2 linked regions of the Coturnix japonica genome follow. The protein of the gene in region 2 interacts with the protein of the main gene of each other region in a pairwise test. Links are inferred from orthologs where the notes say so. Each region holds a gene or a part of one and is shown on either strand. Other genes may lie near its edges.

Region 1 (3,910 bases), on a different chromosome or scaffold from region 2:
AGAGGATCCTGCAGCCCAGGTCTCCAAAGTACCAGTCCCGCACGAAGTAGGTGCACACCACGAAGGGGATGGTGGACAGGTAGAGCAGGTCAGCCAAGGCCAAGTTGATGATGTAAACATACATGGAGCCGCTGCGCCTCATGGAGACGGTGGTGACCACCAGTGTGTAGATGTTCCCCGCCGTGCCCACCACGCACATGGTGCCCAGGATGCAACCCAGGAAGGAAGTGGCCAGGAGGTCACTGGTGCTATCAGACGTAGCGTTGAGTTGGGTGCTGCCGTTCTTTGGATAGCACAGCTCTGGGGTACACGCGCCAGGCTCCATCCTCACTGCCCCCTCGCAGCTGGGACAGGACCTCACCAGCAGCCACCCCTGAGGTCACTGCCTTGGAGGAGGGAATCCTGAGCTGCAGCTCCTGGTTGTGTTGTCCCAGCTGCAGCACCCGCAGCAGTGGTAGCGCTCAGCTCCAATGTGTGGCTCTTTCCTGCGCAGCCTGGAAAAGCCATCCTCCATGCACCCGCCTTCCTGCAGCTGAAGGAGGGACGAGGCACGGACGGAGGTGGGATTTGTCCCTCTGCCCTCCAGTGGGATGGAACACGGCGGCTGCTCCCATTGCCACCCACTGGGATGCTGGCACAGCTCCTCACTGGGAGGGAGGTGGGAAAAAAACACCGATTTCTCCATGTCAGAAACTTTTCCTTGGGGTTTTCTCCTTCTCAGAGGATGGGAAGGAGAAAAGAGCAAACACCATCACCCCAGAGCTGATGGCAATGGGAACCTTGCGCTGGCACCCACCCCTATGAGACCTTCCCTCCCTGCAACTCCAGCGTTAAGGCAGAGAGCAAAAAGCTGCTTCGAGCAGAGACAAAATGAGTGACGCTGCCAGGAAAATGCAGCAGGATCCTCTGGAGTCACATCAGAAACCTCTGCATCAGTCCAGGTCTGTGTTGCCAGCTATGCACCCAGGCTGGTTGACTTTGTGCTATGGACTGCACAGAGCAAAAGGGCTCCCTATGGGGCAGCACTCCTTGCAAGAAGGCGTTGGGTATCAAAGGGAAATTAGCATTGCTGCTCCATCCTCTGGGCACAAACAGCACAGCAATGGGGTAAGGGAGAGAGGTGCAGGACAGGGGGGTTATAAGGAGCGTGTTGGTTTGAGGAGGGGGGATTAGTTGGGAGTCTGAAATGGGGTAATGGGGCAGTGCTGAGGGCTGGGGAGTGCTGGGGAATGCTGTGATAGTGCTGGGAATGGGAAGGGAAGGAGGGGGAGTGAGGCTAAAAAGGGTCTAGATTAGGAGGAAAAAAAGTCTTGCAAAGGCCCTAAATGAAGATGGGGGGAAATCCTGGCAGGGTTCTAATTGGAACGAGGTGATGGGAGAGAAGATGCCCTGCAAAGGCTCAGAAATGGGGGAAGAAGGGGAAGAATCCCAGAGAGAGCGACCCTTGGGAGGGCGGTGAGTGTGTGGGGCAGCTGGAGGTGGGGGTCCCATATATAGACCACAGCCCTCCCATATAATCACAGCCCTCCCTATGGTGCGGCCGGCCTATAGAGCTCGCTCCGCCGGGCACCACGTGCGCTCGTGATGGCCCCGCCCCCTTTGTGTTAGCCCCGCCCCTCCCTTTAGCCCCGCCCCTTTCTGTTAGCCCCGCCCCCTCCGTCACCGCGCATTGCCCGGAAGGTGGCATTGCTCGTGGCGGACCGCCCCCCCCGCACTCTATGGTACGTTCTCCGTGACGGGACCTCCTTGGCCGCCCTTCTGTCCCTCTCCTCTCGCCCCATTTCCCCAGTTCCCGCCGTTCCACTCTATGGTGCGGGGCGGGGCGGTCACGTGGCTCTGTCAGGCCGGAAGGAGCGGGGCAGCGGCGGCTCAATGGAGCGGGGCCGGCGGGAGGTTGTTGTCCCGGTGAGTAGCGCTGCGGGCAGAGCGGGGGGCAGCGATTAGAGCGGAGCCGTTAGAGCGGCCTCACCTCGGGGCTGCTTCGGGCTCCGCTCCCCGTCACCCCGCCGTGCTGGGCGCTGTGTGCTGGGCCTGTCCCGGGCCCTGCTCCCCGGTGCCTCCCGTCCGTCTGTGTGGTGCTGGGGGCGGCTGAGAGCGCTGTGTCCGCTCAGCCCGTCTGTGAAGTGCTGTGGTGCAGCCGCTGCTTTGGGACTCGTGGTGCTTTGCATTGAGAAATGGTGCTGCTGTTCGGCTGTACTTGTGGCACTGCTGCAGTGTGTTGTGTTTGGTTCGAAGCGTGCCGAGCTGCTGGGAAGCAATAGCTGCGTGTGTCCGGCTGTTGGGGCGGCTGCAGGAGGGTCCTGGTCGCAGCAGGATGTGAGGTGTGCAGCAGAGCAGGGCTGGGTTACACCGTGCATAAGGTGCCTTACATACAGCAGGGTGAGGGGCTGTGTGAGGCCGTGGCTCTGTGTGAGCATGGAGCGGTTCTTGCTGTGTTCCCGTGCTGTATCAGCACACTGCAGTCTGTATCATGGGCCCTGTGTGCACGTTTACCGTTCTCACCTGGTATCCTCATTTCTAGGGCCTGCGCTGCACGAAGCTCTGCACCCTCCTCAGTCCTGTTGATGCTGTGAGCGTCTCAGTGCGCTGGGTGTCTGTGTAGCGTGGATAATTAGTGATCACCGTGACAGGAGCTTGGGGCTGGGCTCCTGGGGCTGGAAGGAGGTTCCCCCACTTCCTACAGCAGCACTCGGTGCTGTTTCAGTTTCAATGACAGTTCCCCTCTGCCTTTCGCTTTCCCCTCCTCAAGCACTTTCCTGTCTGCCATCCCACACGCTCCTTTTTAGGGCTGCTGCTCCCAGCTCAGTGGCTGGGGCGGGCTCTGCTGACGACAAGGTATGTTTTGCTTTACAACAAGGTGCTGGCAGTCTGTCCCAGCCTCAGAAGCTGCCCCAGAACTCCAGATTCCATGTCAGGCCGTTGCTTTGTCTGTTGGGAATGCAGCGGGTGCTGCTGCCAGCAGTGTGGATCCAGCGCTGCCTCTGACAGCTCTGCTCACAGCGTCGTGTCTCGTGCTTTGAAGCTGGTCACAAATTGCTTAAAAGTCCTGTGGCAAAAACAGGTGGAGTGCAACTCCAGCACAGCTGGGGAGAAGCAGGAAGTGTGACTGGGGGCTAATTAGCAACACCTGAGCAGCACAGGCACCACTAAGAGGGAAGCAGAACCCTCTGGGTGTTGCTCATTGCTGCTGGAAGAGGCTCCCATTTATTCATTTGCAGTAGGTGCCTTTGGGTTTGTTTTTTGGGAGCCACGGTGAGTGGTTTGCTGGAGCAGTGTGTTCAGGAAGGCTCAGCTGTGGTGTCAGTGCTTGCTGAAGCCACATTCTTTATGGGACAGTCAGAGCTACGCCACTAATTCTTTGTGTCAGGAGCCTGACTTATGCGTGTGGATTCGGTCTGGAGAGGACCCCTGTTCCTAAAGGAGAGGCTCTGACAGCCTCCAAAGTCTGTGCACACACTGAAGCTCTGTGCACAGTGTGCCCTTGTGGATGGGTGGATGTGTTTTGAGCTGCCCTGAGTGATTTCAACTGCTCTTAGCAGCATCTCTGCCCGCTGGGGTGAGTGCATGGCCAACAGCTTGAAGCATGCAGCTGATTTAGGACACCAGCAGCAGCCCAGGAAATAAGTTCATTGCTGTTCTGCTGTGGCAGTTCCTGCGCTGTGTTGGAGGCAGGCAGGGAGAGGAGGGGCCCTTGAGTATCCTGGGAGCTGGGGTGGGCTCTGCTCTCTGAAGCACTGAGGTGGAGATAGCAGCCTTGTATCACTGATGGAGGCCATCGTGCCCTCTCTGCCTTCATGTCACAGAACCTCAAGTTTAGTTTGAAACCAGCTCAGAGTGGTGTTGTTTCCTCAGGGTCGGTGCTGAAGAGCTTGTGGTCATTTCAGACTTGTAATGATCCTCAGGAAAGCTG
Region 2 (3,810 bases):
TGAAACACAAGCAGCAGCAGGGATTGTGACAGATGTCAGCTGTGTTTCACTACCTTGGAAACAAAAGCCTGCACGGTCCAATCACAAGAATCCAACTGAATATTCACCAGTGAGTTCTTTTCTTAAGAGCTCATGGCACCTGCCTGAAACCTCCAGTCAGCCTTCCAACAAAACTAGGAGTGACACAGCCTGACTTTCTTGATATTTCCAAAGAGAAAGAGTCAAGGATAACCATTTCTATCTCAAAGCAATTAGTTTCGAGCGTGCTTTTAAGTACGTTAAAAACAATATATAAAACCCAAAGTGTTTCTGCTTCTTTGCAGATCACCATTCAGGGAAAACCCATGCAAATGAGTTGCTATTTTGTAAACAGTTTGAAACAGTCAACAATACAAGCTCCCCTTTGCAAAACCGTGCACAGAAAGATGGAAAAAAACCTCACAACCCACCATGTGAAGATATCCCTCCTGCACTAAGATATGGCATAGGGTGACCTTATGAACTGCAGCCTGCTGGAGAATCCAAGTGGTGGTGTAAAGTCCTGCCGTGAAGGAGATACTGCATCTCTAACATAGCTGACAACCTCTGAGAAGTGTAACTACCATCGGACTGGAAGAACACTAACGCAGAAAATAAATAGGAAAAAGTAATGCTATTTATTAAATGAATTCCATCTATGAATTATTCTCTTTGAATTATAATGCAAGACGAACAAGCCTGGATAGAAATGTGCTCGCTCTCCCAGTATTTGGACTTTTAAAAAATAGTTCCTAAGAATCAATTTTAAAAAGCATTTCATAATTTGATATAGCCATAAATTAATACTGCATGGAGATGATTAATGTCCTATGCTAGTGGTCAGTGACCTTTTGTAAACACTAGCCAGGTGCTAGTAAAACTGGCTAGAAAACTACTGTCACGGGCCTTTTTTTAACAAGCAATATCATATTTCTTTCTGACGAGCAGATTCTTAATTGTTTTCACAAAACCTTTTCCTATTTTTTTGATATACTTTATTTTTAACCTAACACCTGAAAACATACACAAGTCTTCAAACCTCTTCCACTAACACTAAATTCACAAGGCAATTAACTTCAGCTGGCCATAACTACATAAGCTCTCGTGTGAGACCCCTACTCAGACAGCATCCCTCCCCCCCTCCCCAAACAATCCATGCACCCTCCCCATTGAGAAGGTGACACAAGGGACAGCAGGAAGTGGCACAGTGGTCTGGCATTCCCCTCTACGTGCGATTCAGCGTCTGGAAGATTCGAGAGATCTGTAGCATGACAGGCCCAGTTTCTGGATCGTTCATCCACTGAGTGCTGTTCAAGGGGTTTTCAAGCATATCTTCAAAGGCTGCCAAGAGAAGGAAATCGTTGTACATTATTGGTCTTCTAGCAGCATACGCTTCAGTGCTTGGGATGCGTCAACAACAGGAAGGTTAGAAATACTTACAGCTTATCCAAGGCAAGCAGCCCCTCAAAATGGTGAGAATCCATCACATGGTTACCATTTGTTGTCCTGCATTTTCAGACTGGGGTGCTACATGCTGTTACGCTTTCCTCACTGCTCAGCATTACATTTATCGCAGGAAGAGGCTGATCAAACACTTAGTCTGGATTACAGCCCACCTTACATAACCTCAGTGACATGGGTTTGAAGAGCTACCCACTTTGCAAAAGTCCACAGACAGAACTTTTCCATTATAGAACTTAATGTAATAATGTTCTTCAGACCGATGTACCCCAGGAGAAAAGGAGGTTGCTGCCTACATGCCAGAGATTGTGCCTCAGTCACTCCTTAGGGAGGGATATGGCTGCAGTAGCCTCCAGTGCTGTATTGAGAGGGCTGGGCAGGGTTTCTCTGTTTACACTGGCTACAGTAGCAGGTAACACACCACGTAACTGGGATCCAAACGTCCATCTCAGAATTGGGACATTTGGGCAGAAGAATTTGTTAAGTTTCCTTTCTATGGACAGCTGTTTTTACACTAAGTTAGTTTGGCTTTGTTCTCTTTTCTTTTTTACATGCTAGTTTCCCCTTTTCTCTTTATTTTGAGGGAACCAGACATTTAGCGCAAGAGCTAAGTCACAAATTTGGCTAAAGAATGATCCAGGCAATAATTTATAACCTCATGACACTGAGCCAGACTAGCAGACATTGGAGCAGTCGTTACGGAACAGGACAGAAAAAAGCAGTTGCATATCTGACCTATTCAGAAGTCACCAAAAGGTCAGTGTTAGAAGAACCCGGCAGTCCAGCAACAGGGTGCCAGCCTGAACCTTTCCAGGAGCATTAGTGTACAAAACTCTAAGTGACCTTAGTGGGAGCCATAAGCACCCAGGCCCTCTGAAGGGCTCATCATTAACACCTTGCACAAGGTCACACTGCATGCTTGCAGCAAAGCCCAGAATAACGTACAGATCTCACCTTTCACCACTTCAACTGTCTTCTTTTACATAGACTCAAGAGCTTAAAACTAAACATTTATCAACATTCCTTAGCTATCTAGTTAAATACAAACATTTAACGTTAAAATCTATGACATAAGCAATTTGCTTATGTATCATTTCAAATACATTCTCTAAGGTTCATATAAGTTTTACAAGCACATATAGTGACATTTCATTTTCTATTTATATTCTGAGCTGAAGAGTGGAACCGTCTTTAGAAATAAGGAGACCATTTGTTCAGAAATGAGAGTGGGAAGGTTCTGCTCTTGCATTATTTAAAGTCTTGCAAACACTCCTAATTACATTTAAAATAGCATCTTAAAAAGCTCTCCTGAAAAAGCCATGTATACACCCTTCAATTCAAAACACAATTTTGAATCAAGTTTGAAGCCAAAATCTAAATGCAAGATTTTATACATACAACACTGCTGTTGTCATTCTTCTGCATTGTCCTCCAGCACCAGAGAGGCCAACACATAAGAGATCTGCATTTCACCATTGGTTTTATCAGTTGAGTCCTTGCTGTGCTCACAGCAAATATGAACAAAAACACAGACTTTATCACAGAGTTGATACTCAAGAAGGGGAAAACATATTTTCACAAGTGTTATCTGAATTTTGATAGGCAAAGCCTCTGTTCTGACTTCTTGTTTGGTTACACTAATTACCTTCCATTCCAGCGATCAGAGCAAAACACACAGTAAGCTGTACAGCAGGAGACAGCCTTGTTTTATCTGTGAAGCCATCAGGGTTCTAAATAGACATTCCTGCTTTTTATTTTTCACAGCCAAAGGGAGCACCACAAAAGGTCTCCTAAAACCACAAAAGCATTGCAGCCAGCAGCTATTAACGCTCTGAGTTCAGCACGTGTGAATTAGTAGCCTAAGAAATTAGCACCATTTCTGGGCCATCCCAAGCTCTGTTCAGGTTACAGCTGAGTTGCAAAATGAAATAAGCTGCTGATCATCAGAAAAACGGTACAGAGCTGCACTCACTTCACAGTATGTGTTGTCATCATCCTGTCTCTATCCTATTTGCTAGGAACTGCAGATGGAATATATTTAGCTGGAACGCAACCAGGACTTACCTAGTAGAGTTTTAGGGTTGGTTAACCCTAACTGTACCACTGGGTTTTCTAAGATGGCTTGGAAGAGAGGGCTGTTTGTGTCAATTCCCTTATCTAAGTCCTCTGGAGAAGGCTTTCTGTCTCCCAGCAGCCATTCGCACTGAAAGAAAGCATCAAGCACAACAGATTTCATGATTGGCCACTTCATCCCCAGTAAGAAGATCAACCAATTCTACAGTGAAAATAACCAGATGAACAGACTATGACAGCAACAAGGAAAAGAAATGA

What was found.
Region 1: the proteins of UBAC1 (region 2) and RNF216 interact in binary tests that used the Homo sapiens proteins (3 or more experiments, as listed by UniProt). The link is inferred for Coturnix japonica from reciprocal best matches to the Homo sapiens genes UBAC1 and RNF216.

Annotation. Positions count from the first base shown.
Region 1 is NC_029529.1:4,311,134-4,315,043, reverse strand, and holds the start of RNF216 (E3 ubiquitin-protein ligase RNF216), read left to right. Parts: upstream 1-1,674; 5' UTR 1,675-1,721; intron 1,722-1,727; exon of another isoform or gene 1,728-1,905; intron 1,906-3,910. Other genes in the region: urotensin-2 receptor-like, read right to left, coding at 1-325.
Region 2 is NC_029532.1:6,650,279-6,654,088, reverse strand, and holds part of UBAC1 (ubiquitin-associated domain-containing protein 1), read right to left. Parts: intron 3,683-3,810; coding exon 3,544-3,682; intron 1,360-3,543; coding exon 1,244-1,359; 3' UTR 1-1,243.